4 linked regions of the Styela clava genome follow. The protein of the gene in region 2 interacts with the protein of the main gene of each other region in a biochemical or structural test. Links are inferred from orthologs where the notes say so. Each region holds a gene or a part of one and is shown on either strand. Other genes may lie near its edges.

Region 1 (8,023 bases), on a different chromosome or scaffold from region 2:
AAAATGTGTTGCAATAGTTAAACATAACCGAGTACCGCTTATAAACACTTTTAAATACATGGAAAAATGCTATTCAAACGTTTACGAATGACGACATTAACAGTCTTGAAATTACGGCGAAATTCTATTTAAACATTTAATCACTAACGCTTTTTCAATAGTATTGTAGTAACGGTGAAATGCCATTTGAACGTTCAATTGAAGTTACGGCGAAATGCTGTTTAAACGTTTAATAACTGACACTTTTTATTAGTACTGTTAAAATGAGTCAGTCGTTGGATGTTTTGAATAGCATTTCACTGTAAATTCAATACTGTTGAAAAGCGCCAATCGTTAAACGTTTAAATAGCATTTTACCGTTAATATTCGATTTTACAAGATATTAGTTTGGGTTACAATGCCAGACTTTCTCTATTTAGTCGTGCTCTATTATGATTTGTAGGCGTCCAATAATGCTAGGATGTGGTGCCAGGGTTGAATGAACCATTAAGCAAATTAGGACGTGCTTAGGGCACCAAGGAAAAGAGAGCACTACACAAATTTCCATAGTTGAGTTTTCGATAGTGTCTCAGTGTTTATTGGTGCAGTAACCTTAGTATTGACCCGGTTAAAAAATCAGCATAACAATAAGATGATTGGTAAAAAAAATAAATAAAAACTGATTATGAAATCAGGAGAGCAAACAAAACCTTAGATAAGGTTTAAAACTTACAGAATGTATACAAGATGGAAGGTTTTGCCAAGAAGAAGTGGTACGTGTTCACTCACCTAAAATAATGGAAATATTCCACACACGCTCACACGCACCCACACACACAACCATACAGAAGTTATAAATTACATACGGGTAGTTAAAAAAAAATAAAAATTACTTGCCACACCATATTAATAAATTTATAACGTTTGCCACTGCCGAATTGATATCTTTTATAAATGGGAGTGAACAGTAGAGATAAACTATTATGAAAAATATATTGCCAAGCTGATTATAGTTGGAGTCAATTGCCAAAAATGCCCAACCAAAGTTACCAGAATTGGGTGCATGAAGAGGTGGGCTAGACCAGTGGATCCCAACCGCCGGTCCGCGAAGCTTTTATTGCCGGTCCGCGAGAAATTTCGTCATATTGCGACGTCTTTCGCGACATCATGGCGCCGTCTTTCGCGACATCTTGGCGCCGAGCAATCACACTTTTCGCTTTTTCGGCTCCGATTCGTCGCGAATGGGCTCTATGAAATCTGGCAAGATTCAGAAACCCAAAAAACGGCACGCGTGCTTTTCTGTTCTGCGTGCTTTTCTTGATTGATATAACCATCAATATCATACGTTATGCATATTCAAAAACAGTATAGTTTTCCAGTGATGTATGAACTTGTTGCGACCCTACAGGTGGCCACGAGACGTGCAAAAAAGCATGGGCTGCAGAGATCTTTTCCAGTATTTTGAGCAGACACAGTAGGATTTTGAGCTTGGTGCCAAGTCATCAACGACTTTATCATTGTAATGTAAATTCATTCGTTCAAGGCGTCAATCAACTGCAGAGGGATTAATATGATAAACCCAACGAAATAGAAAAAGCTTGATTAAAATTGTGATTCAACTTTACAGTCCAGATTTAAAACAGAATTACTTGAAACAATTTTAGATATTTCTTGATAACGAATACCCATCGCTAAATAATCGAGCAATCAAACTGTTGTCCGTATTTTCAACCAGTTACTGCGTTAGTTTTTCTCCGTGTTTTTTTAGGTGTGTATTTTTGCACACCTAGAAGCATATTGGGTGCCCGACATTGCATTATATTACGGAAATATATGTTATTCGTTTCTGTTCCGGTTATCTCGATTTTTTGCCGGTCCGCCAACACATTTAATTTAATTTTACCGGTCCGCCAGGGTAAAAAGGTTGGGAAACACTGGGCTAGACCACTTCATTCCCCAAACTAGAGCCTATTATTGCCAAATTATAGTCCAGAGTGTAATGTATTCAAAGGTACAAGTAACAGTATAAGTAATTATAATTAATTAAGGTAGGACAACGGGGAATAGGAATATGTTGGTTACCAAGGTTATAAGTAAGGTTTTTTTCAATCTTAGATATTGACTTCTGCAAGGACAAGGGAATTAGGATTGTTATTTCACAGGATCATTTCTTCATTTACTTAATGTAACGCAATTGTTGTCAATTCAAAGTTATTATAAATGAGACATCACTACATCAGACTGCCAATTTTGATGATGTATACACCCTTTATATTCAATAAGCTAGCCATGGAATTGGTCATCACAAACGACCTGAAAAACAGAAAAAAAATCTGCGAGTAAAATATTTAAGGGTTTCATATTAGGAAATAACACTCACTAGTCACTACCCTACACTTTTGTTGAGAAGAAATTATTATTTTGAGTAAATATTAATCATTAGTTATTTATCTTTAAAACGCAAGTTGAAAGACCTGAGTTGAATTCTGGTTGGGACACAGGGTAAATAATCTTCGCAAACCATGCAAGAACTCTCAAACCACACTAACCATTTTTTATTGGCCTTCACGTTAATTTCACAGCAGAACCTTGACCTGGGATAAAATTTTGTATACAGACAAAACAAATCATGGAATACCACAGCAAATTAAAATGAAGGGGAGAATCCAATATATCTCGACTGGTCGCCTAATTACAGTAATAGGTACAGGAGTTAAATTATACCTCCTACAACCCTCACAAAGAAACACACCACTCAAATAGAAATAAAAGATCATGCATGTGGAATATCAGAAACCCAACAAAAAACATGCACATAACAGAATATGAGCAGCCATATGCGGAAGAATCTTATGCTATGCATGCTATAGGACAAAATAAAGAGCCAACTAGAATGCAAAACAAAACAGATGTGGAGAGCTTAGCTGCTTGTTCAAAAATAATAAGCAATCTCAGAGACAATAACAATATTATGGCTGTTCAACATTCTCATGAAAATAATAAGTATGTGCAAGTGAGGAGTGTCCCAACATTCTGTCATGGTCTTTCTTTTGATGTTCTATCTAATTACCTACAAAAACTATGTCAGTGTGGTTCTGAAATAATAACTTTTAATATTTGGATATCAAGTGGGACTTGACTTTTTTCTGAAACATTTTTTTGGATTTCAATGTCTTTAAATTTAAGGGGAGGGAATTCCACAGCTTGGGCCCAGTATAACACAGGGCATGCTGGCTCACAGACTTACTCATAAAAGGTATGAAAAAATCAGAACTACTTCTTCGATTGGAAATAATTTTAGTTAGAATGTCGTCAAAGCAGTTTGGCAAGGAGTTGTTATGAAAATCATAGACTAACGATAATACTTCAAATTTCATTATATCTTCGACTTTGAGTATATTTAGCGTTTGATAGAAATGATTTACACTTTCATGTTTACTTTTCCTGAAGACAATTCTTAAAAAAGTACTTTGCAATTTTGAGACAAGTGTTTTATTACCATGGAGCCAGACTGAGCAACAATATCGGATATGACTGAGTAGTAGTGATTGAAACATTGCTAATAAAGCTGATTGATTAACGCACTGGGGTACTTTGGCAGCAACTGCCAAGTTTCTTTTTGTTTTACCAATAACATGCGATATTTGTGATTTCCAAGACAGATCTTTCAATTTCATTGCCATTGAGCAGTAGTGGTTTTGTACAACTCACACTTCTATGCTTGCTTGGATGGAATAATACAAATTCAGTTTTTTTAGCATTAATAGATAATTTATTAACTAACATCCCGCTATGGATGTTGGTTAATTCTTGGTTTGCAACTGTGAATAGATCTTCAAGGATTTTCCCATTAAGAATCAAGTCAGTGTCATCAGCAAACATGATTGACTCGGAGGATTTCAGACATCTGAACATGTCATTAATGTAAGCTAGAAAAAAATAATGTTCCAATGATGAATATGGAAACTTACATAATCAATTGCAGATATTATGACTTTTGATATTTATGGCATCAAAGTCTTAAGTGCTTAGGGCTCCTTAAAGCCACAATCCAGTCCTGGTTAAAAGGGCATTAGGAAATCAGACTTTGTAGAGTTCAAAAGGACTTCCTAAACTACCTTTAAACGCACTAAATTACGACCACCACTATCAATGGAGTTGTTTGATCATGTTCATGTACTAAATTTAAACGATATAAGCCAGGGGTGGGCAACTTGGCACGCGAGCCCATTTATTCGGCACGCGAGTGAGGCTTCAGAAACGAGATCATTCTACTTCACAAGAATTTTAAGACTCTTATCTGATGAAACTCTGTGTCCGCTTATTCATAGTTGTTTGTTAGCAATCCGTTATTAGATTAAACTCTTTTGGTCCTTTCATGACATATATTCCAGTTCTCAAGTATGATTTAAACGATAATGAAAATTTTGACTTTTTCTACGCACCGCAGGTACAAATCCGCAAAAAAAAATAATTTACACCGGGCGGGTATTCAAGCACCGGCCCTTATTTATTTTTATGTGCTGTTCACACGGGCGGCTATTCAAACGGGCCCTTAATCAAGACCGGGCGTTAAAACGAGCCTTTACGGTAGCTACAAAAAAATGTAGTATGACGTCACAACTGAGTGAGCTCTCGACAATTTTGGTCGGCACGCGGATGAATTTTGTCAATAAATGTAGTCGATTTTGGCACGCGAGCCAAAAAAGGTTGCCCGCGCCGGATATAAGCCATGTTTAACTGGAATAACAAAAGTTTCGTCTTGTAATTCTACTCCCAAATCTTAAAAAATTCTGACTCCGATCTCAGCTCAACAGTTTCTGATGTTTTTTTTTATTCTGCACGGATTAATGTATCAACACAAAACTTATAAATAAAACATATATTACAAAAGTCGTACAGTGAAGATACTGAAAAATACGAGAGTTACAAAATTTTGACATCATAAAAACATTAGGGCGGTAACACAAGCTTCGTTCTGTTTTGATGACAGAAGTCCGGGAGACTCCGACGTAACATAGCTCCGGATCAGCGTGGGCGGGAAATTCGGATTCCATTGTTTTGATTTTAAACAGAGACATTTAATTTTAACCATGAACATTTCGGTACCGGTAACAGAATCAAGTAGGTTTGAACAATATTGAATGTTAAATAAATATAATTGGAAACACTTGTTTTTACATGCTTTATCTTACAAATAATTGTAATCGTATAAATGATGATTATGAAAAAAATGGAATTATGGAAAAAATGAACGGTGATGAATTCTTTTTCCAATGTAAATTCCATGACATTGTAAAATGGCTTCTCTTTATAACTTATCATTCCCTATCCCACTGTACCTTTATACCTTTCTAATCTTCTGGCTGAAATGCAACCATAATAGGTTTTGTGGAAATGCTTTTTATTAAGTTTTTTTATTTTTTTTTTGAAACTTCATTGTTTTTGGCTGAATCCAGAATTTCAAAAAAAACCTTATAATAGTGAGTCATTTGATACATACCTTTATTATCATATTTCGCCAAAACCTGTAGGGTCACATTTTGGCCAGAACAGCCATAGACCACTTATAACACTGTCGCCCTTGAGTGGTGCATACCATATATGTACACACCCTTTAAACTTGACCATTCCCGCGTTTTATAGTATGTGGTATCATCACTCAATGGTATTGTACATTCATCCAAATTCTTAATTTTTTTTTTTTTTTAGAAAATTTTTTTATTACTATATTCATATGCATTGTGTTTCATGTTGTGTTGTGTCTCTATTTATAGATGTTGTTTTGTCTAACAAACTCCTTTGTACAAACAGTTTTGTACACTCCACCCATATCCCTGTTACCGCATCCACCCACCCTCCTCGCACAACTGCCTGTATAAAGGACCATATTGTACATATTTGATTTACCCTATTAAAATTTATATAAATCAAAGGGGTGTATGCCGCACATCTGTGTTTTAGGCCAATATGGTCTTGTGCATACATCCCGTCTTCAGTATTTATAAGTACTTACTCTTTTATATTGCTTTTACGAGACGAATAAACATACATACATACATACATTCTTCCTTGGAACAACCATGAATAACATGTACCGGTACCATATAACATATTACTGTATTAATAATGTACCGGTACTGTTGGAAATTCTTTTTGATATTATTTTATTTGTTATTTGTCATTAAAAAAAAATAAATATAACAGTTTGGATGATATTGTTTTATGGTGGCCGATATAACTAGGCTTATCATATACCGGTGCCATATCTGAAGCAAAAAATGAAAAAACCTTCGCGGTGCGGTTTGGACGTGCCAACCTTGGTTTCATTCCGGAGACTTAGTAATAGTTGTCCATACCATTATGCGTAGATCAAGGGGCATCAAAATTAGCAGTAGTCTAAATTCTATCAAAATATCCTTTTAGTCTTTGCTCCAAATACTGAAATAGACTATACCGGTACCCATTCGTTCACCTGGTTAGAAACTTGCATTTTGTTTATCGGAGCTAGCAAACGACAGTAGGTACAGTGCAGTTGGGTCTTTGATTGACGTATGGATCTAGTGCAAATTTTATATCATAGCTACTGTAGCTATGACATAACAATTTTTTTCATTATCCAGTTATCTGAACTTGTGACAGTGTGAAGTGAGACGCAAATCAGTGGTAAATTGGCTGCCACCGTTAAAAAACAGTTTTGTAATTGTATCGAAGAGAAAAATTACTTATAGCCTAACTGGAATTTGATAGCCTTATATTCCAGCAGACATTGTATCAGGCCTATTCCTGTATCGGTGTATTTTAATTATTCAAGACAAATGTCACAGTCTTGATGCAGTGGTGAACTAAATGCCAATTACTGAATTAGCTAATTAGCCTACAATCAACATTTTGATATATCTTGGTGGCAATGCGAAAAGGTCATGCATTAGTTCATTGATTTCATAGTAAAGAATCTTGGTTGAATTTCGCTAAATAAAATTGTACTGTACCTGACAGGATCCCAATCAGCTTATTCTGCCAATGCTCTCTTTTTTTAGAACTCAATTTCAACAGTGCAATGTCAGCCTGATCTGTGATATTCAAGCTGCGACTGTACAGAGCCATTCATACACACTGCTTCATTTATATTAGCAGAGCTGTCTAAAATACAAAACATGAGTGAAAATATATTGCAGACACCTGTGATGCGGTTCAAGAAAAAACAGGTTGGAGCGGAATGCCAATCTCCTTGTTTAAATATGCCTGCATCACCCTTGCTACAAAGATTGGGATATGGCACAGGTTCAAGTTTTAGTTATTATAATCACTTGACTAATTGATATTTCTCAAGGCCTTTCTCATGGTGATAAAGCTTCAAACCTTTGAATTATGCATTCTTTCTGCTGATTTTTCCCAACTCCGAATATGTTTAGAGCAGTTTGTTTTGATCAACGCTCTCACTCCTTTGTATCTGTTTCCCTCTTTTGTCAATGCCATGTTTAGTTTTTAGCTTCCACTGCTTTTGATAACAGTATGGGAATGAAATGTTAACTAGTGCTTAAGTTGTGAGGTGTTCTTATATTATAATATCCCGTTTTGAAGGCGTCAGTGTTTATCTTCTGGAACGATCACCACGGCAAGGCATGCATCGGTCACCATGGGCGGTAAAAAAAGTTAACAAATCAAAACAGAAAAATAAAGCAAATCTTTTTGCCAATCGGTGAGTAGCATAGGAATAATAGCATGTAATCTCACATGTTCAGATTTTTTCTTAATGACTTTCTTTGATAAATTTCAAAACATGATTATCTCTCTTATGCATGCAGTTCACTTGTTTCTTTTGCATTTGGATTAGCTATGAAAATACTTATCTAATCAAGGTTAAAAGAAGAAGCTAACATATTGAAATCGATTGACCACAAAAATATTGTTGGATTCCGGGCATTATCCAAAGCAAAAGATGGAATGTTGTGTTTGGCTCTTGAAGATGCAGAAAAATGTTTATTCTCTATCTTGGAGGAGAGAATGGAGGAACATTTAGGTTTGCTCTTTGGTATAATAT
Region 2 (7,441 bases):
AAACACTGTCACAATTTTTAATATCTCTTGATAACGAATATCCATCGCCCAGGTAATCGAGCAATCAAACTGTTGTCCCTATTTTCAACCAGTTACTTAGGCTTTACGCGAAAAGAAAACATTTTCATCACTAGCTTGAATTAAAACGAAGCAAGGAAGTCGACTGCACGCCGCTGCAGAGCTACGTATTGCAGAAATTTCTTTGCGGCCTCGTTTGCAATCCTATATTGGAAACGAAACAGCAGCAAAATTCTGACTAGAGGTAATTGTGTTTGTACATGTTTTTTAAATGAGTGTGTTATGTGTGCCTTTCTTAGGCATAATGGTTGCATAGCACCTCATTTCATTACGCAAATATATGATATTATTTTATGTTTCACCCATTTCAATTGTTGGCCGACACATTATTTGATATATACTTTTTCTTTGTGTGAAATGTTTTTAGGTGTGCCTTTTGTCTAGAAGCATATTGAGTGCCCGATATTACATTACTCGAATATATGATATTCTTTTCTGTTCCGCTCATTTCAATTTTTTGCCGGTACGCGAGTACATTTAATTTTACCGGTCCGCTAGGGTAGAAAGGTTGGGAACCACTGGTCTATGGGAGATACGCTTTTCAATACTTGTTCGAAGCTAATCTGCGATTTCCGAGACGCAGAATCCAACGAGTAGCAAAAATCTTTATGTGTGACATATCGCGAATAACTTACCTCATAATCATAACATTTCGGCGAAACTGAGATTCATAACATCGTAGGATTTTGTGTTTAAATGAAGCAATCAGTAATCAGTAGTTTATTTTTCACTATACCATCAAATAGGCACAAGCATACAAATTGCAATGAATTATAAATAGGTCACGTTTCAGGTTGAAGGCGGAAACCCAGTACTGGTTATCGAGCAGCGGCTGTATCAAAACATGGTCAAAATTGAGCCGTGATTAAGGAGACAAGGGCAGAATAGAACACGAGAAACGTATACAGCAGGTGCGTGCAACTGTTTTGCGCAATGGGCCACAAACTACAAGTATAGTGATACCGGGGGTCAGACCATCGAACAACTCATTAAACAATCCAAAACGATACTAAAATCTGAGCATTTGCTTATCCTGTCTTTTAGAGAAACTTCGATGTTTTCCGATAGATCGTCTATTCGTCGAGCCACTGTAAAACGAGGCAGACTTATTTGCTCCACTAAATTTTTCTTCTCCGTGGATACATTTTTGATGAATATCTTAAAACAATTCTTAATGAATTCACCATCGCTGTACGGCTTTCCTTTTTCCGCAATTGCTTCAGCTATCTTGAAGCTCAGTTTTGTAACTATCTCAGTGTCCTTGTAATCATGGAATACCTCTTGTTGTTTGCTCAAAGACTGTTTTAATTGCTGCATTTTGTCAACCCGTGATTGACCTACAATGCTATCGTAGCTAGCAGAGTTCGCTTTGCCAAATCAGGCAAACTAGATCTTGATTGTGTTGCACAATGAGGTATTTTACATAACACTCATTGTTGAATGTGCGCCTTTCATAACTTTCCCTTTCTTACTGGTGGACACTTGAACTTTGTTAGGCTTTTCGTATAATAACCTGCAATCATGAATTAAGATGCACATAAGCACATTATGCTGCAACAATGGGGGGTCGTCACAGTACTGTATAGTCTGAGTGTAGACGGAATTAAACTGTAGTGTGTTGTAGTCTTATACTGTAGTCAAAAATGCCAATAATGCCGTTGCAATTCAGAAAAAGTTTTTTAAATTAATAGTCTACGAAGTATGAAGTCGGTAGCGGTTATCTTGATTTTCCACCATTCATCCTGGTCCAGGATGCATTTACTAAATGGGTAAACAAATACTCAGAATAAATAGCGAAGTTGAAAACAAATAATTTATCTAAATACGAATATTCGGCGGTGTGATGCATATAAGCACTGGGAATGCGCTTGCCACAGGACCTCTGATTACCCTGATAGGGTTCTCAGGTTCAAATCGCGCCTTATCGCCTTCCCCTCCCCTAGATGAATAGAATCCTATCCTATTTTATCAAACCCTGGGGCGTCGCTAAATCCACACTGAGTAGTGTGCCAATAATATATGAACAAAATGCTTGATATAAATATTAAGACCATTTCACAGAATGTGAATGTGCGATTGCGGTTAATTTAAAGTTAAAAGAAAGCATAAACCTCGCATGGCTGCTTTGCGTACTCGAGCGTTTCAAACGAAACTTTTGATTTGACTTAAACAAGACGTCACTGGCTTGAGGCGTCCTGATTGGACGGAAGTCTCGATGCGCTATTTACGAATGTGCTGTACTAACTGCGGGTCTTAGGACTTTAAATTCAGAAATTGTTCTATTTTGCCTGTACTCCCGAGATTTATTCGTATTCGAAGTTAGTCTTGTATTAAGTTTAGGTGTGATGACCTTGTGGATCTGGAATCATGAACATATTTTATTAAACCTAGTAATTATGGGATGGTTACCGTATGTGCGAGAGGATTGCTGGACTCGTCGTCGTCGTTGGGTGGTCACGTAACCGCTGCCCGCTGGTCGGTTACGGCTTCCTCCACCACCAAGTCTATGCTTCCGAAAACAAACAATATAACTAATCCCATACCCGACTTGGAATGGTAACCAGACGAGAGGCTATGGTTCGCCATATGGATAAGCCGTCTTATCGGCTTTCCTTTCCCCGGGATAAATATGTAAATCCTATGTCTGTATGGGGTCTAGTATTAGTTACGGTATCAAGCAGTCAGGTGACGTCTAATTTCTGAATTTAAATGAAATATTGACTGGATTTCGGTGTTCCACTTTATTAGTGATTTTATAAAGGTAGACTATAGTGGCATAATATATATATAGGCTACCGGTACTACCAGTATTTAAAGAAATACAGAAATATGTTAAGAGCAAAGACAAAAATATTTCTCTTGTGTATCATGTCCGCATGTCAAAGGAAAGTATTGATGTGTTTTTCTTCCTGAAAATATGGTGATTACTCTTCTATGAACTGTATATGTGGCAATCAAAATGCCACTAAAGCAGATAACTCTTGTTATCTCTCGCAAGGTATATCCGCCTTCCATTCAGATTCAGTCATTACTGCATTATATCATCCGTTTATTTTTAGTGTTTGTGGAACCACGTCTCCCGGTCTCTGTTATATTATTTAAACTACATATCATATCAATATTTGCTATTAACAATAACAGTCGAAAAAAAATTCTAATTTGATTTTGCCAAGCGGTTAATATTTACAGTATTCATAACACAAAAAACCAAAAAGCAACAATTGAATGGTGCTTATTCAAAATACTGCACAGTCCTCCAATTCCAAGACTAGCCGCTATATTTAAAGACATCAATAATAACGTTGAATACAAACCCCTCCTATACGAGACATCCTGACAGCGTTGGCACTCCATACTGCCATACCGGTATCACCTCAAGATTAGCAAATCGATACTCTGTAATAAACTGAAAAAAAAAAATCTAAAAATGTCTTCTATCAGAGTCCTTTTTAAAAAATATTGGCTGAAAAAAATTTTATCATAGCAATGGCATCGCCCGAAATGACATCTGCGCCGTTCATAACGAACTTGCTACAGCCGGCGATCTCCAATCATGATCGTTGCGACGAGAAAGCTAGAGAAATAGCTTGCTCGATTCAGGTGATTGTTTGCGCGTTTTGGACGACCATTCGCATACTTCGGTGGGCCTTATTACGTCACTGTGACGTCGGAATGACTTAATTTTTCGGTGATGTAGTCAGGTCGGGGTTAGGATTGACATATGCAAAAATTATTGCATATGTCATACTATGCTAGGACAACTAGAAGTGCATGTGGTACTAAACTATATCAGACCCCTCGTTTCTGCGACAAATAAGTGTTTATCTAGCTATTGAGACATTCTTGGAATCTGATAACTGTGCCCTGATACCAAATTAGTAATTTTCTATTGAAGAGTTTTATAATCTTATATTTTACAACACAAATTATATAATCGCTCAAAATCATATTCTTCAATATAGTTTGTCGTTGTATTCATAGAGACCATAAACAGCATTGAAAAAAGTTAAATATATCTAAATAAATCCATACAAATACTCCTCAAAAACTGTCATATATTTGTGACCTTTGGTTAAGTTTGTATGGTTGTCAATATGAAGTAGTTGAACATCGCATAAAGCAAAGGCAATAAAATGACAAACGCCAAAATTAGTTTATGCTGGGATACTAATACAATTCTATTGCTATTTATGTAATTGTCCTTATATTAATATAGCATATAAGGTGGCTAACCAGTCTTTGAATGCAAATACTCTCTTTGTTTTAATTTCTGTATTTGTTACAAAATGTTTATGTAAAAATTACATTTTCATAACTAAGTAGCTAATGGAAAATCTTTTGATAAATTTTTATTTAATTTTATATTTTCAAGTGCTAATTTTGTTGCTGTGTGGATTAGCTTGGGGAAGCCTAGGCAGACACTGGGTGCGTACGGCAGTTCTTAATAATAATATATCTGCTAAATAAGCGAGTTACCATCAGATTCGTAACTAGTACTTTCAGAACTGCTTGCCGGATCCAACAAGATGGAAGATTATATCAAAATTGAGAAGATTGGTGAAGGTGGGACATATTTGTTTTCATTTAGGCTTCCAACATCTTCATAAACAAGCGCTTTACGAGCAATCACTAACACACTATGTTTCTAGACAGAATTTGAATATATTAATTTTATTACAGGTTACTCAGTCTTGTGCATAGAGTTTGAACCTTTAACCTTGGATCATATATACTTAACTTCAATTTAATATATCTATATTATTTATATTATCAGTGTATTAAGATTTGTTCATTTTGTTGTTTCTAGTTAAACAAATATACACTTTATTGCAGGCACCTATGGAGTGGTCTACAAAGGACGTAATAAGAAAACAAACCAGCATGTTGCACTGAAAAAGATTCGTCTTGAGAGTGAAGATGAGGGAGTGCCAAGTACCGCAATTCGAGAAATTTCCATTTTGAAAGAACTGGCTCATCCCAATATTGTTAGGTTTGTCTAACTTTTATTAAAACTTTATTTAAGTGTGCTGTTGAATTCTATCTTTCTGTCATATGGTCATCTTTTTCTTTCCATTAGATAATTCAGTTTTAGTTTTCTAATATTAATCTCAACTTCGAGTTATTGGAGTTGGATTGAAATTTCAATCCTTCGTCATTTCATGGTGATATTCAAAGTTCAAATTTTCTACAGTCCAATTATGTTGATAAATCATTGTTCTTATTAACGGTAAATTATTAAAGATGCATTGTATCTGCCAAAGTAGTTCGCAGCTTGAATCAAAAGTGACATTACCATCAACTTGTAATCAGAATTGTTTTCGGATATTGCTATTTTCATTTAATGCGTAATCTATCATTTTTAGTCTGCTTGACGTCCTCTTGCAAGAGTCCAAACTGTACTTGGTGTTCGAGTTTTTACAGATGGATTTGAAAAAGTACATGGATTCAATTCCATCTGGAAAATTTATGGACAAAGAGTTGGTAAAGGTAATCATCTATATTGCAGTACATCATAAAAAAAGAGGAGGGATATTTTAATTTTATAATGTGGGAAATGGGAGCTGACAAAAGCTGGCTATATAAATATTCAACTAGTTAATAGTTCCACTTATGCCTGTGTATCCATGTATGCTTTTAGGAGGAAATTCTTATATGAAGTATGACATTTTAGTATACTTTGTTTATCATATAACTATATTAATCCGTCGTGGGTTGCTTTGCTTTCATTGAATTTTATTGTTACATTTCTCGCCAACAGAGTTACACATACCAGATATTGCAAGGCATCACATTTTGTCACTCGCGTCGAGTGTTGCACAGAGATTTGAAGCCACAGAATCTATTGATTGACAAAAATGGCATCATCAAACTTGCAGATTTTGGTCTTGCTCGTGCCTTTGGGATCCCTGTCCGAATCTACACGCATGAGGTGTTCAATTTTGCTCTTATCATATCCCCCTTCATACTTGTTCTTATTCCGAAAAGTGTTTATTGATCAATGTTCCGTATATGACATAATGGTTACCAGCCAACATATTTAATTTAGGTTGGTACTTATGGTATAGGCTTTCCATAGATAGTATCACTGGACAGGTTTTGCAAGAATAGATCAAACATTAAGAACTAATCATTATCTTACATATGTGCGGATATTGCAATACTATGATATCATAGGAAAGAAAGTATCATATCTGATGGTAACTTATTAATATAACCAAATACTTCATGTTGATAACAGTCAAAGTTCTCCATATCCAGTTCATAAAATTCTTGCAAATAGCAGACTGTTCTAAGAATGGGATGCCAAGTTTCACATTCGAATTGTTATTTTTAGGTGATCACTCTCTGGTATCGAGCGCCAGAAATTTTGTTGGGATCCTCGAGATATTCTACTCCTGTTGATATTTGGAGTATTGGAACTATATTTGCTGAGATGGCAACAAAGAAACCTTTGTTTCATGGAGACTCAGAAATTGATCAATTGTTTCGAATATTCAGGTTCGAATTTCAGCTTTGTTATTTTATGGGTTTTCTGAGCATCTCCATTTTAAATATAGTTGAGTTGAGTTTATTTTTTCCACACGAGCACAAATTAAGAGAAAATGATAGTTTACACAGTTTTACTGTGGAAGGGAAGTCGCGGGGAACCAGAGCTGGTTATCGAGCAGCGATACCGGAAGTTCTATGCAAATTATTATCAGAAGTGGCATACGGAAAACTTCATTTTCATATCCCTTTGCTATTTCCATGAAAAAAAAATTCAGATTTCATGACATACTTTCAAAAACTCACTAAAACATGTAGAAACTGTCAAAAGCCATCAAGCTATTTCAATATCAATAATAGACCTTTTAGTTTTGGTCTGTGAGGATGAAGGCTCGACATCACTGCTCTGAATCCTAATTCTGCATAGTATTGAGAATATCATAACATGTCTTAATACTCTCAATATACACTTTCAAATCTTCTAGAGTGTTGGGAACTGCTACTGATGATGATTGGCCCGGAGTCACATCGCTGAAAGATTACAAACAAACATTCCCAAAATGGAAAAAAGGAAATATTGCGGATTCTGTTAAAAACCTCTCTGATGAAGGATTGGATTTGCTAATGGTATTCAGATGAGATATGTTTTACTTGTGTTTTTCGTGTACTTTCACATGCAGTACATGCAATTTGTATGGTTCATCATGAACACCTTATGGTGAATGGTGATGATGAAGTAGTTGGTCATTGAAATTAGGAATCTCATTCAATTATCTGGAAACTGGCTCTGTGAGATGTCCCAAGGTCATTATAGATGTCATTTAATAAATTTGTTGAATTTACCTGTAAAAAAAGTCTCTCAAGAAGTGGACTGAAC
Region 3 (6,973 bases), on a different chromosome or scaffold from region 2:
CTGAAAACCCGAATAAACATAGTCCATTGTTTATCTATGCGGGAGACCTGTTTTGCCGTAGACCTGTAACCAAACAAAAGTGTTTTAGTAGTTGAACAAACGGCTCACAAAAACAAATAAACGATTTCTGTACAGTCACGAGTCGATATTTATTTATTTATAGATATAAATGTAAATACGCGGACATGTTGACTGCACCTTGCTACAGATCGAAAAATAATATAATATAATATGATATAATGTGCTAATGTCATATTTGTTATTACCAGTTTAAAGTAGGTCAGTCAAGGCCTAAGCTAAAGCCAATTATAATAAAGCAGATTAATACGCAGAAAAGTTTGATTTAGTTCTTATACTATTTGAGTTGTAGTCTAGGTAAATTAGGTACTGACCTGTATTTAATCAAATGTAATATATATTAGTATTTGGATTTCGACTTACGACTCGAGAGATATTGGGATATACAACCGAAATGCATTCAGACCACTTGTGTATAATTAATTTTTGAATTTACCCAGGTACGTTGAATTGCTTCGAGCAAACAGTATTAGCTAGAGATGAAATTCGGTGCATTTTACTATTTATTGTCAATAGCTTTTGTTTTACTTGAATAGGTTCGCTTGAAATACAATTATAACTCCACGCTTTGTTGACAATTTTTGTTTTCCATTTGCTCAAATTTGAGTAAATTGTTACTAATTCTGTGCTATGATTTACTAATCAATAGACGTCCGCTGAACTATCTTATCATACTAACATCGAATCTTTTTTTATCTAAATTAACTTTAACTGGAAGGAAAGCGGCAATCAACTGTATAACATTACATGATAACGTATAATGACATGCCTAGCATTAGATACCCTATCTCAAACATCCTAATTAAAATATTTCAATATCAGTTTATGATTAGATGCGATTTTACGTGAGCGATATTTTTAACCATTAATGTAAATAGCACCTATGTGTGAAATATTGTTCAAATAATTTTACGAGGTTGTTTCTCATTTATTTAATTATTTGTTGATATCATAGAATATTTTAATCATATTGATAGCCTTACACAACAAGCCTGAAACATATATGGCATGTTCTTATGTTTGATAAGAAACAGGGGCACACACATGGCCAGTTTAATTTGAAAATTGGAAGTACAATTTAGTAAATATATCAGCGACATGTTAAAATATAACAGTCGCTAAACTTTGATTAGCACTTTATAAACAATATAAGAGGTGTTTGTTTTCTCACAGAAATGAGGGCGATAATACGAAAGGTGTCATTTTACCAAATTAGCGCGCTTTCTGGATTAAATTTGCTATCGATTTACCTCTTCGGACAATTAACAATAATGTATTTGGAGGACCAGAATTTACTTTTCAATTTCTAATATAGTCAATTAAGTTAAGACGAAATCATGACTGGCCACGGCGTATTAACCAAAATGGTTACCGGCGCCACATTCTCATCTATCGCCCAAACTTGTTCAACTCTAAGGTAATTTACGTTGACGATAGGGAATGGGAATATTACCTGTAAGAAATTACGTATTCTGTTTCAAGTGGGATTTTGGAATTACCCTGCTTTTCTAAGTACTGTAATTGTTTCAGAATTACTATATGTTGTAATAAGCAAGGATTACTTCTTTTTAATTTTATGTGAATAAAGGGGCGTTGGAGTAAAATGAGTTGGTCGATTTCTGCTCCGGTGGGATTATAACACCGGTCAATTATCTTTACAGATAGGTTATTGTGATTATTGTATTGCATATTAAACGACCTTGATGTTGCGCATGACATATCGCCCATTTCCTTTGATTGCAACATTAAAGGCGAATGAATATACGATAATCTCAGCATCAGATTGCATGTGGATGGCATATTCATGCTTATACTCCGGAAATTGGTCCACCTTGTCCGCTTGCTTCCGCTGCAATATGCGATTTGCATTAAACGATATTGTTGCGATATTACCGCCATTTGATCGTACCGCGGTTCATGGATTAGTCTCCACTGCAGTGGAACGTTTAGTCTCCACCCTTGGGTAGCGACGTGCTATAATCCCGCGGTCGGAATTTTAACACCGCGGTAAAGGTACAGAAACCGTCAGGTATGAACAGATGAATTTTATGAAATGTCACATTGCTATATCCACAAATCCGCCAATTACACCCGTCTGGCTGCGAAAATGAATCATCGTTTTTATTTGAGTGTTAAATTTTCCTTTTATGGAAATCACGTTGTAATTACGTCATTGAATATTCCACCCGCGTAGTAAGGTTCATACCGGGTGTTCCCAGTTTTGTGTTATTCTCAACTTGCTTGCCTACCGAGATAAAAACTTTAAGCATGGACTATTCGAGTTTCGCGAAATATATTATTCCAGGGTAGGGAATTTTACTAGCCATGCTCAAGAGCCCTCGAATTAACTCTGTCATACAAGGTTACGGAAACCTAAAAGTTTGATTATTTCAATTTGGAACATCAATCGAAAGGTTATTTCCGCACTTATTCCAACTATAGTACCGAAATATCTTTTGATAATATCGCTATTAGTTACATCAATGTAATCCCGGACCTTCATTGAAAGCACATTAAAGATAACATCACCGATCGGTAAACAGGGTTTGTTTGCGCATGCACCCTATCGGCCAGACCAATAAAAATATATCAAGAACCTGTTCCTGTACGCATGGCCCAACGGAGATATGTCTTGTAGCAAGTTATCTTATGTTATTTTAAGAAATCGTCCTTTTAGTATTTATTAGCAGGTATAATGTAGTTAAATTATATTCACTGTGGTCCGTTGAGTGACAAGTTATACCCTCTCATAGCTCAATTGTAATGAGTTCATTAAGTTAGGAAGTTCGTTGAATATATTAGATAGTAATAATTACATTAGCAAAAGATATATACTGTATAGAATTGCAAAGGAGTGATATGAATTTTGTATAATGAAAATTGATAAGGTTTGACTTCCTACAAGAATTTGGTTTATGCGTACAATGACACAAATTTGCAAAATTAGAGTTGCATATCCGACAATGATACAATCTATTTAGTGATAGATTGTACCTGCTCATTAGCAAGTGCACGAGCCATGAAGTCTGATCGAAGCATAATTTAAGAACAATAAAGGCTAAAGACTCGTGTCTTCAGTTAATTAAGGGGCACATATTGAATAAAATATGTTGCTTTAAAAATACAGGAAGCACAGCAAAACTATTGAGATAGTGTCGCGCTGCGGGAAACGTAGCGATAACGAACAGACGTTCGCCTTGCCTCATTATGCGACGCTAAGTTACAAAGCGCCAGAGGGAAAAAAGCATCGATATAATGGTTAATGAAAGAATTAATGACGTCGCGTTTTTCTTTCTCTCGTTTTGCGTCATATGACGAGTGATATGATTGGTTGAGAGCGTTAGACTCCCGCCATTCTACACGCCGTGCACGCGGCGCGATTGTTCAAATGGTGTTCACGCTTATTCCAGTCGACTAGCGGCATGTTTTCATGGGTTTATTACGTGTTGGTGACGTCAGATTCAATCATTCGTGCTAAAATGACGTATGGTGTCACATTGTACATTACTTAGATCAGAGGAATGTTGCTAACAGTTTATGAAGATTAGAATTATGAGACAAAAAGACCAGTCCTAGCGTATAATTTAAAATCAAATCAAGCAGTTTTCAGATACCACAACCGTCGACTCTAACGGCCAGGTTTTCGTACATTCTGGATTATTAAAATGTACAGATAGGACGGGCTCAGTGAAAACTAGCCTACAGTTTTATGAGAATGGGTTGCGGTATTAATATGAAAACACAATCGTCTGAAATATAGTCCAGTAGCCAGTGTCTATAGTAACGGTACCGTACAACTTTGACTTACGGACTTCAGGACTTATCTCTTTATCATATACTTTTGATAAAGTTTTAAATAAGGTGATATCTAAATGTACATCAATATATTTCAGTTTAATAATGTTTATTTATATTGTTTAGATCTTATATTACCGTGATATCAGTAAAATCAACTCTTGCGTTACATTTGAACTTTACACACTCTGAGACAAGGGCAAAAGAATCAAATATCATCGGAATTACTTGCATCGGATTTATAGAACTGCCGTTATGTCTTTTGCACTGCCATGTGCCAGTCCATCAAAGGATTTACCTGGATCAAATAGTATCAGAATGGCATTGGATTTTAGTGATGATGGATTCATGGATGACGATTCAGGTAATTTGCTATTTCCATATTAGTAGACCAGATTTATTGCAAATAACTCTGTATTCAGGTATTTCATAAAAAGCAATTCATTGATCTGTTTGGGAATTTTTTGTTAGTTAGGCCTAACGTTATTACCTACGGTACGGTATTCATGTCACAGCAGCTCAGTTCTGCTGTCCACTTTTCAATAATTGGCTATATGATATTACCTCATTGACTAACCCCACGCTTTTTTATTAGGTATGCAATTGTCTTTGACACCATCACCTGACTCAATGAAAAATAGCCGCTCAAGAATCAGTTCACCTTCCCCAGCAAAACGTTCTCTTTTCTCTCCTCCTAAATCTAAAGTTAGTCGTTGTGAAGGAACACCAATCAGCTCAACAACACATTCTCGAGTTTTACGAAGAATGTTACACAATAATAATGAAGATGATTTGAGGAAAATTTGTGCTTTGAATGCCATGGAATCAGCCTCTGAAGATGAAGAATTTCATTCACCAGCTTTGAGAAAGCTTCCATTTTCAAGTTATTGCGATCGTAGAGATTCTGGAAATGTTTCATACGATGAAAATACACCAGCGAGTTCATCCAGCATTCGCACATCAAATGTTCTAGAATTTAACTCTTGTAGTAGTGGTGATGATAACAGTGACAGCAGTTTCTCTTCTCCAACCAGACCCAGCAGCAAGCCGCTATGTATTCCATCACCAAAACAATCACCAGCATCATCATCGGGCGTTTCTGGTTGCTCACCAGGTCGGTCACCTCCAGACACTCCACCACACACAAGAAAACTTCGAGAGCTCACACTCTTTGATTCTCCTTCCACACCAAAAACTCTTTTACGCAAAATGCGTTCCCGAAAACCAGCTTTACCTAAACCAATAGAATTTTCTTATTCTGAAAACTGTCCCACACCAGTTCCACCACCAAGTCCAACCAGTGCTTTCAAGTCGAGAAGTCGTCTTCGTATGTTGCGAATGGATGCCGCACATTCAACACCCTCAATGCCAAGAACTTTTAGAATAAGCGCAGATGGAACAGACACAACAGATGAAGAATGTGAGATAATTCGGGGTTCAAAGAGCTTACCCAGGTTTAACAAGTTCAAAGAACCCACTACTCCATCTGTAAATGTGAACCCATTTACACCCGATAACAGACCAAAAAATTCAAAACGTTCAAGAACTGGAAAACAAAGGAAACATTCTTTTTGTTTGGATGACATAGATGAGGAAGATGAAATGAGGCCTGCCAAGGTAAATAGAACATTTTTTCTGTATTTTATATTCATCATGAGTCTCCAGAGTTTAAATAGTTATGTCTAATTGTTGCTGGTACTTTTCCATTCCTAAATTGACTTTTTCTATTTTCAGAGAATTCATTTACGTGAAAACAACATCTCTCGTTACCAACAAGAATTTCACGAAATTGGAAAAATTGGAGATGGCGAGTTTGGTTCCGTTTTTAAATGTGTCAATCGTCTTGATGGGTGTGTTTACGCAGTAAAAAGATCAAAGAAACCTCTTGCTGGATCTGTTGACGAGTAAGTTCATCAATGATATTAAAACATCGTATTAGTTTATCTTTTGGTTTACTTTATTAAACATTTGAATTAACTCGAGCAAATACCATACACTGAGATCTTTTAATTTTGCAATTGCTAACCTTGTGTTTTTTTTACTTGCAGAGCAAATGCTATTCGTGAAGTCTGCGCTCATGCTGTCCTTGGAAAACACAGACACGTTGTTCGTTATTATTCAGCTTGGGCAGAAAATGATCATATGCTCATTCAAAATGAATATTGTAATGGCGGAAGCCTGGCTGATGTAGCAGCAAAGAATCAACAAGAAGGCGAAAAATTCTCTGAAGAAGAAGCAAAAAATCTTTTGCTGCAAGTTTCTAAAGGACTTAAATATATACATTCACAAAATTTGGTTCATATGGACATTAAACCAGGAAATATCTTCATTTGTAATGAAAAGCAGAATATTTCACTGGACTCTCATCAGAGTGAATTAGATAGCGAAGACGAAGAAGAAAAGGTGACAACAACCAAGGAATGCTCTGTTTATAAAATCGGAGATCTTGGTCATGTTACTTCAATTGAAGACCCACAAGTTGAAGAAGGCGATTGTCGTTACCTGGCTAATGAAGTTCTCCAGGAAGAATATTCACATTTACAGAAAGCTGATGTCTTTGCACTTGGTGTTGCTGTTCATGAACTTGCTAGTGGAAGAACGCCTCCCAAAAATGGCAGTTCATGGCACAAAATTCGTAACCAAGGCCTCGAGACACTCACTCACTGCTCAGATGAGTTCAATAAACTTTTGCAAAGCATGGTTCACCCCATCGTTGCTCATAGACCAACCGCAGCAAGCCTCACACAACACCCTCTCCTATGCCCTGGTTCTTCAAAATCAAAAGACCAATTGAGAAAAGAGCTTAACCAAGAAAAATTCAAAAATGAAATACTCGCAAGAGAGTTGGAGGAAGCAAGACAAAGTCAGCAAGAATCACAATTTAACAAAACTCCATTTGGAGGCCGAAGGGGAATGTCAACTGGATTACGCAAAAATTTCAGCAGTATGCGAGGCGGAAAAACTAATAGACTTTTAGGTAAAAAGACTTGTCGCAGTATGAGCATGACTTCAATTTATTAATTTGTTTCCTATTTCAATTAATTATGTTCTTTCATTTCTGCCCTGCCTAATGTTCTCAAAATTATGTAAATATCCAGTA
Region 4 (6,989 bases), on a different chromosome or scaffold from region 2:
CAGAAGCGTCCGCAGAACGGTCGGTGACATCATAGCAAACAAAAACAAATCTCACAAAGCCAACAGAGATATTTGAAATATATAAAAGTGATAGCCTTCTGACGAAAAATTTCATCTTTAACCACTAAAAATTTCAAAGCAATTGGTCCAGTAATCAAAGAGAAAAGCGACCTTTTAGATTTTCCATTAGGTGTCCAAAAAGTGTCAAAGAACAACAACAGCATAATATTGAAACGATCGTTGTGTCCATTACCGTGTCCAATAATCGAAACGAAATAGATGGGAGCGCAGGGAAAGATATCAATTATTTGGGTAACTTGTATACTTATGAATGAATGTAAGTTAAAACAGAACAAGATGGATTTTGCACATCCAAACAATGGATGTGTTATATTCTACTATACACATACTAGTGCAATAAAATCAGAAGCACGGGTTGATCATCGAAACAAATCAGATTTTTGGTAAAACAATATCATTGGTTATAAAACGTTATCATGGAACCGGATATTTACCTCTACATCATTGACCGATTTAATATCTCTTTTTGTCTGAAATATACAGGGATCTGTCAATGAATAAACTATATTATAAGTCCCTCTATAAAATTAAGTTTTTTTTCGAACCCAATATAAAAAAATTGCTGAAGTGATTTTAGAATTTAGAGATATTTCTAGAAATATGTGGTTCCGTGCTCGATGAGTCATCAACACTTCTTCGTCATTGTCTACGCAGCAGCCATCTTTGATGTCATAACAGGGGAAAACGTCACAGTTCGGCTTAACTAATGACGAAAATTGCGTCATATTACGCTAGTACTTGTAAAAATAGTTTGGTGTTGAAATAGTTAAAAACAAAGCAGGAAAAATGTAGAATATTTTCGTGATATGTATTAAAGTAAGTTGATACGTAGTTATTTACAAGCTGACGTCACTTAGACCCGGGAATGATGAAAAGATTTTTGGGCATGTGCTGTTGTATTGAATCCGTTTCCCGCATTTTCGTTTTGATTTTAGCTTGAATTTGGGCGATGCCAAATTATTAAAACACTTGAAGACATTTTAGCAACAAATAAGGAGGATAAATTATGAAATGAAAGTTGAAGGACACAATATTTGGGTCACCCCACGTTCCGGCCATAAGCCAGACAATACTGCAGCAACGGAATTCATGAATACTAACCATGGTTGGAAAAGGAGAAATACTGAAATCTGCAAATGGCCTGATAATATTGTAGTCTATAAATGAAAGGTATAGAGACAGCTTACCGATACACTGATACATATAAAATCAGGAAGTTAATAAGGTAAATTAACGTTTTACGATAATTTATAATATTGTAACATCCTGGTCTGTGATCTGGTGATAGTGATCCAGGGATGACAGATTGCATAAATCGTTAGAGACCTTACAAAACCGAAATTTTGGTACCGGTATTGAAAAGTGAAAAGAAAATGTTTCTGTTGTTTATCCTGCTATCGCTGTACTGCACCTGCAGACCTGGATGAACTGTAACCTTCCACTTAATCGTATACGAATATACCAAAAAGTTTACAGATTGGTCTTGGCTCTTTTTTCTCATTGTGTATCTTCTCTTAGTATGAAATAACAAAACATCATATATCAAGAACAACAACTGGAAGTTTTGGTTAGGTTACGTTCACAATGAATACCTATAAACTGTGGGTTTGGTGTAGTTTCGTACCACATGTACTTCTAGTTGGCTTGGCTCAACAGTTTTTGGATATGTCTGTATGCTATTCCTAACCACTAACTCCCACCTAACTATGCTACCAAAAATCATGTCACAATCATATCATAGAGCTTGACAAAGTATAGCTACGATAGCCCAAAATGGCAGCTGTGCCCCTGATTTCGAGCTTACTAACGCCAGCTCTCTCTCATATCAGGATTACTACGACAAAAAACAAGAGAAATAGCTAGCTCAACTTCAGATAATCCTCTGTGTGTTTTGAACGACAATCTGTATATTTTGGGGGGCCCTATTACATCACAGTGGCGTAATTTTCGGATGACGTAATCACATGGGGGTAAGGAATGACATATGCAAAAAGTGTTACGCCATGCCCACCAGAAGTTATCGTGGTACAAAACTACTCGAGACCCTAAAATGTCTCTCCATGTATTGCAAATATAGGATAGCATGCATAACTAGCAAACGAATTCTGTAAATAGCTAGAGATTTAAATTTGGAATTTGCAATTTATCTGAACTGATGAAGACAACTTATTATAGTAACACAATATCATTGCACAATGCTAGGGGTATATAATAATAAAGAATTATGTTTAGTCACCTATTTATCTTTGTTTTCTCTGTTATGTGTTTTCCATAACAATTTAATTTTGTTTTGATTCATAGCTTGACAGGGGCGCTAATATTTTCTTGTTGAAATGATGATATGACAAATGGTCATTAATAAATAACTTGCAAAGTGTGTTTTTACTTCCACTTTCTTGTATTGACATTATGATGACATTGTCTTTAGCATCTTAATGGGAACGTTTCCTGATAAATAATTTTGTTGGATTCATGTTGTTAATATTTTAGGAATTATTGAAAATTTAAAGGAATGTTTCAGACTTATTTCATTTTCAAGATGAAATAACATGTCGCCCAGTTGTTTCAGATTAATTTACTGCTTAGATTACCTGGAATATGTGAATTGTGATTTTGCCCATAAACAGGAAGAAAGAATTTTATGAAGATGTTTTCTTTACTCCTCATTATCATCGTATTAACTGTAGAAACAACCCTACTAAGATAGTTTTCCAAATTTCTGGAATATCTCTGTTCATGCAATAAAGGGCAAAACTGTAACAACATTTCATGCAATCTAACGTGTGATAATAGTAAGAAAGTAAAGGGAGTATATGAATGGAATCGATAACATCGTTAATTTGTGAATATTGCTATTCTATCTTTGAATGATATTGAGCCATTCTTCAAGTATATTCATGTACCGTAAGTATCCCATCATCTCGATCAAATTTTTTATTACCCATATCGATCAAAATTTGTCACATTTTGATATCATGTATTCTTGGCATTGTGATATGAAGTAGAAATAAATATATATAAAGATAACATCATGAAACTTATGTTTTAACCATTCATATGTTGAGTTCATGAATTGGCCAGAGAAATATCAGAACCAATTGAAGCCGGTCTCATCGAAAATGAAATACTTCTGGTCTTCTATACACCTTGTCATAGTAAACCAGAACAATCTAGCTGAAAAGGGGCACTTTTGACTTGCCTCGTCCTACTAACAGCCTTCATATTTCATAATGTAATTGTATTAACTCGTGTATTGAAGAGACATTTTTTGAGTACTTCTATTTTTTCATGTTTTCACTCAATAATCATTCCATGCTTTGAAAATTACTGAACTGTAATTACCGGTAAGATATGTTTAAGTTAGACAACAGATGATAAGGAAAAATATCCAATTGTTTTAATGTCATTTTATCCAATACCACATGCTATTCTATTTACCGTTATACTTTTATCAAAGTTATATTAGTTTCTATTCAAGGAGGCTATTTAATATTGCCCAAAATTTTATCAATTTGGATAATAGGGCAGTTCAATTATCAGGTTAAGTCAATTGAAAAAATAATGGTATTCTGAAGAATAGAATTATCCCAAAAAATTATTTAACTTAATAATACTAGTCGAAACAATGTTGGTTGTTTTCGTCTGGTACATTCTCACAATCAATTCCAAATTTAACATCTGTGCCATGCTAATATGTTACTGCTTGAGTCTAGTAGAACATGGATTTCATTGGGTGACAAACTGATGGTGTGAGTAAGTAAATCGGTTTTCAGACTAGAGGTAAGTATATTGAAACTAATAATAAGCAGAAACTACATAGCTTACGCCGAAAATATGATTGAGGCCATTCTACTCAATCGCTTTGCATATCTATGTTAATAAATATAACAATTTAGTGGTTGGTCAATTTCTTTGAGATTGTGTTTTTGCTTTAGGTTTTGTTATTTTATTAGACTGTGTTATACTAATATAAACAGTAGAAAGAACAACTTTTATTATCGATATGATTCTCTTTCACCTATAAACTCAGCAATGGAAAGCGGAACACAAAGTGTTATCACATCTAATCAACAATCTGTTATTCAGTCACCTAATCAACTGAACAACGGAACTGATTCTGCCAGGAATACTTCATCGGAAGACACCCAGGCTAATTCTGACACAGCTAAAAGACAGCGGGAAATCCTTTCTAGGCGTCCTTCTTATAGAAAAATATTGAGTGACCTGTCAAGTGATAGCCCTAGTGGAATTAATCCCGCCGTGAAAATGGAAGTGCTAAGCGAAAATAAGTCCTCTGAAGAATCTGAATCAGAGTCTGACTTGAGTGCAATCTCAATCAATACACCGACAATAGCATACCAAACGAGTACGGGCACTGTTACTATTCAACAGGCTCCACAAACGATACAGATATCTACACCTTCCATAAGCGACCAATCTGACATGCAAACTTTTTCTGTGGCAAATGCTCTGAGTCAGGGACAGGCTATAGTGCAGCAAGATGGTCAGCTGTGGGTGCCTGGAAGTCATGTTGTTGTCCAAGGCAGTGGTGGTGATCTTCAGGCATACCAAATTCGCTCAACAGGTGGTGGCCAGCTTTCTGTTGTATCTGGTAATTCACCGTCCAACACAGTGCAAACGCCGCAGCAAATGGCAGAAGAAGCATCCCGAAAACGAGAGCTAAGATTAATGAAGAATAGAGAAGCAGCAAGGGATTGTCGACGCAAAAAGAAGGAGTACATTAAGTGTCTGGAAAACAGGGTACAGGTACTGGAAACTCAAAATAAGGCACTTATCGATGAACTTAAGACATTAAAAGAGATGTACTGTGCAAAGGACATGTGATCTTAAATACAGGACAGGAATGTTAGACATCCTGTTTGTCCGATAGCTTGCTCAAGCCTATAACTGGCAGTGTTAATAACAGCTGAATATTTGTCAGACTGAGTTTATATTGAAAATGCCCACTCGCATTTTTGGAATTGCAAACTATGTTAAATGAAGCCTCAACTTCACCAGTTTTAGTACTTCGATTTTAATGAAGTATAATATAGTTGGTAGCATCGAAACCTAACACAAATTTAATGTAATACAAATCAAATAATAATACAATTGTATCTTCAACTAATCTTGTTTTGTGATAATAATTTTATAAAATACATATGTATAAGGAAGGTTTGACTTGATAGTATCAATATCTTTCAGATTTACAATAAGGAAAAGTCAATATATACTTGTGAAGTTATTGTATCATTAGGACTTTAGTAGTACTTCCTAATTATTCTCACAAATCTGTATTTTTTGAAAGACTGCTTTTATTTTAAATCTATAAAATGTATCTTCCGAGATCAATTGAGACGAAAGAAAAAAATTTAGTGGATATATTGCTATTTTATAAGGTCTTGAGATTTTAAACTGAACTACTTTTGTGCACCTAGTGTCTGTCTTGATTCCTACTTGAAGATGATCATCTTAAAAATTTATATACCGTAAGATGCGGAAACTTTTATTTTTCGAAACTTCGAACTGGTATTTAATCGGTTATGAATTCTGTAATCCCAAATATTTGTTTGAAGTTGCAGATGGTGATATGTTGTGATTTGAATTGGTGATTCTTATTATCATTTTCTCACTGCATATTGTACATATAGATTATTTTATTTGCAGTGCAGTTTTATTGTTGCCTGTTTTCCTTGTAATTATATTTTTGCAGGGTTACTAGCATTTTTGTTGCAAGTTTATATCTGCCATGCATTGGCCAGAATTAATTTTGTAACCAAAACCTTCTGTTTTTAAGTACCAGTAATTAAGATTTTTGCATTTCAAAAAAAATTTCTAGCTTTTTCATCTAATTTCATTTGAATTTTGATTTGCAAGAGAAATTGATGGAAAATATTCAATTCAATGACACAAGATGACTAAAGCACTTGAAAGCTGCTTATTTAGGGACTTATTCACTCAGTTTTTCAATATTTCAAGTATTTTCAATAGCCAAACTCAATTCCAAAAACTTCGCCATTTTTATAATTTCGCTAATTGCTTAAGAGAGTTAATGTTATACAACGGTACATCAGCATGTTCATTTTAGTCTAATCTTTATGTTTAAAATATATCATTTATCCCAATTTCTGTGGCAGAAAGAAAAAAAGTTATTTAATAACTATTTTTGGCGCAAATTTTAAATGCTGGAATTGAATCATTCAGAACTATCGTTTTTTCTGCCTGCATTCAATCAATTACGGTTTAAAACTTCTGTTCATGAATTTAATCTTCTGCCTTGAAAAACTATCATCTTCCAGGATTTGAGATGCACTGCAATGACAGTAATAAGAATACAGCAATTCAATCAAGGAGGTTGCTGGACACACATACTGTTCAAGTATGATATGGTTAGTTCGTTGATCTCTTTATCTATGTAAATTTGAATTTATGATTGCCTTGAATTTAAATTTGATATCAATGTGTTTGTATTCGGCTGTATTGTTTTGTTGCGTTTAATAATATACCTATTTCTTTTGAATTATTTTACTCTCGACATTTCATCCTGATACTGGGGAACGCAGAGCCAATGTAGTACAAAATGCAAATTTGTAGTCTTTTTTTTCAATAACCCTCAATCGTAAGCCACAATTCACAATCTCATGCCTCTGTTGGGAACATGTGTAATATTTCATAGCCATATATGACTTTCCAATTTCCTGATCCATATTTGAATCAACACAACAGATGTCTGCAATATTTTTATCATACAGTTGCCATCCATAGGATAACGAACATAGGTATTTTTTGCTGATGGATTGCATTGGCACCCTGTCTAAAATCTTATTTTTATAATTTGAGTTAAGCACGCTTGGTTAAAGTATAATCTGTGTTTCTTCTCCAAATGCATCCTGCAATTTACTTGATAA

What was found.
Region 1: the proteins of cyclin-dependent kinase 1-like (region 2) and lymphokine-activated killer T-cell-originated protein kinase-like form a complex in vitro, tested with the Homo sapiens proteins (2 studies listed by BioGRID and IntAct, with this or other methods). The link is inferred for Styela clava from reciprocal best matches to the Homo sapiens genes CDK1 and PBK.
Region 3: of the proteins of cyclin-dependent kinase 1-like (region 2) and wee1-like protein kinase 1-A, one has a biochemical effect on the other in vitro, tested with the Homo sapiens proteins (5 studies listed by BioGRID, with this or other methods). The link is inferred for Styela clava from reciprocal best matches to the Homo sapiens genes CDK1 and WEE1.
Region 4: of the proteins of cyclin-dependent kinase 1-like (region 2) and cyclic AMP-responsive element-binding protein 1-like, one has a biochemical effect on the other in vitro, tested with the Homo sapiens proteins (2 studies listed by BioGRID). The link is inferred for Styela clava from reciprocal best matches to the Homo sapiens genes CDK1 and CREB1.

What each region holds. Positions count from the first base shown.
Region 1 is NC_135254.1:11,926,919-11,934,941, reverse strand, and holds the start of lymphokine-activated killer T-cell-originated protein kinase-like, read left to right. Parts: upstream 1-5,003; 5' UTR 5,004-5,103; intron 5,104-7,019; 5' UTR 7,020-7,136; coding exon 7,137-7,263; intron 7,264-7,563; coding exon 7,564-7,681; intron 7,682-7,841; coding exon 7,842-8,002; intron 8,003-8,023. UniProt on the Homo sapiens protein: Phosphorylates MAP kinase p38. Seems to be active only in mitosis. May also play a role in the activation of lymphoid cells.
Region 2 is NC_135260.1:19,958,366-19,965,806, forward strand, and holds the start of cyclin-dependent kinase 1-like, read left to right. Parts: upstream 1-4,430; 5' UTR 4,431-4,604; coding exon 4,605-4,641; intron 4,642-4,911; coding exon 4,912-5,068; intron 5,069-5,441; coding exon 5,442-5,565; intron 5,566-5,836; coding exon 5,837-6,007; intron 6,008-6,412; coding exon 6,413-6,576; intron 6,577-7,049; coding exon 7,050-7,191; intron 7,192-7,441. UniProt on the Homo sapiens protein: Plays a key role in the control of the eukaryotic cell cycle by modulating the centrosome cycle as well as mitotic onset; promotes G2-M transition via association with multiple interphase cyclins.
Region 3 is NC_135255.1:13,733,563-13,740,535, forward strand, and holds the start of wee1-like protein kinase 1-A, read left to right. Parts: upstream 1-3,949; 5' UTR 3,950-4,128; coding exon 4,129-4,237; intron 4,238-4,468; coding exon 4,469-5,490; intron 5,491-5,607; coding exon 5,608-5,777; intron 5,778-5,921; coding exon 5,922-6,894; 3' UTR 6,895-6,973. UniProt on the Homo sapiens protein: Acts as a negative regulator of entry into mitosis (G2 to M transition) by protecting the nucleus from cytoplasmically activated cyclin B1-complexed CDK1 before the onset of mitosis by mediating phosphorylation of CDK1 on 'Tyr-15'.
Region 4 is NC_135252.1:2,242,594-2,249,582, forward strand, and holds cyclic AMP-responsive element-binding protein 1-like, read left to right. Parts: upstream 1-3,983; 5' UTR 3,984-4,113; coding exon 4,114-4,926; 3' UTR 4,927-6,604; downstream 6,605-6,989.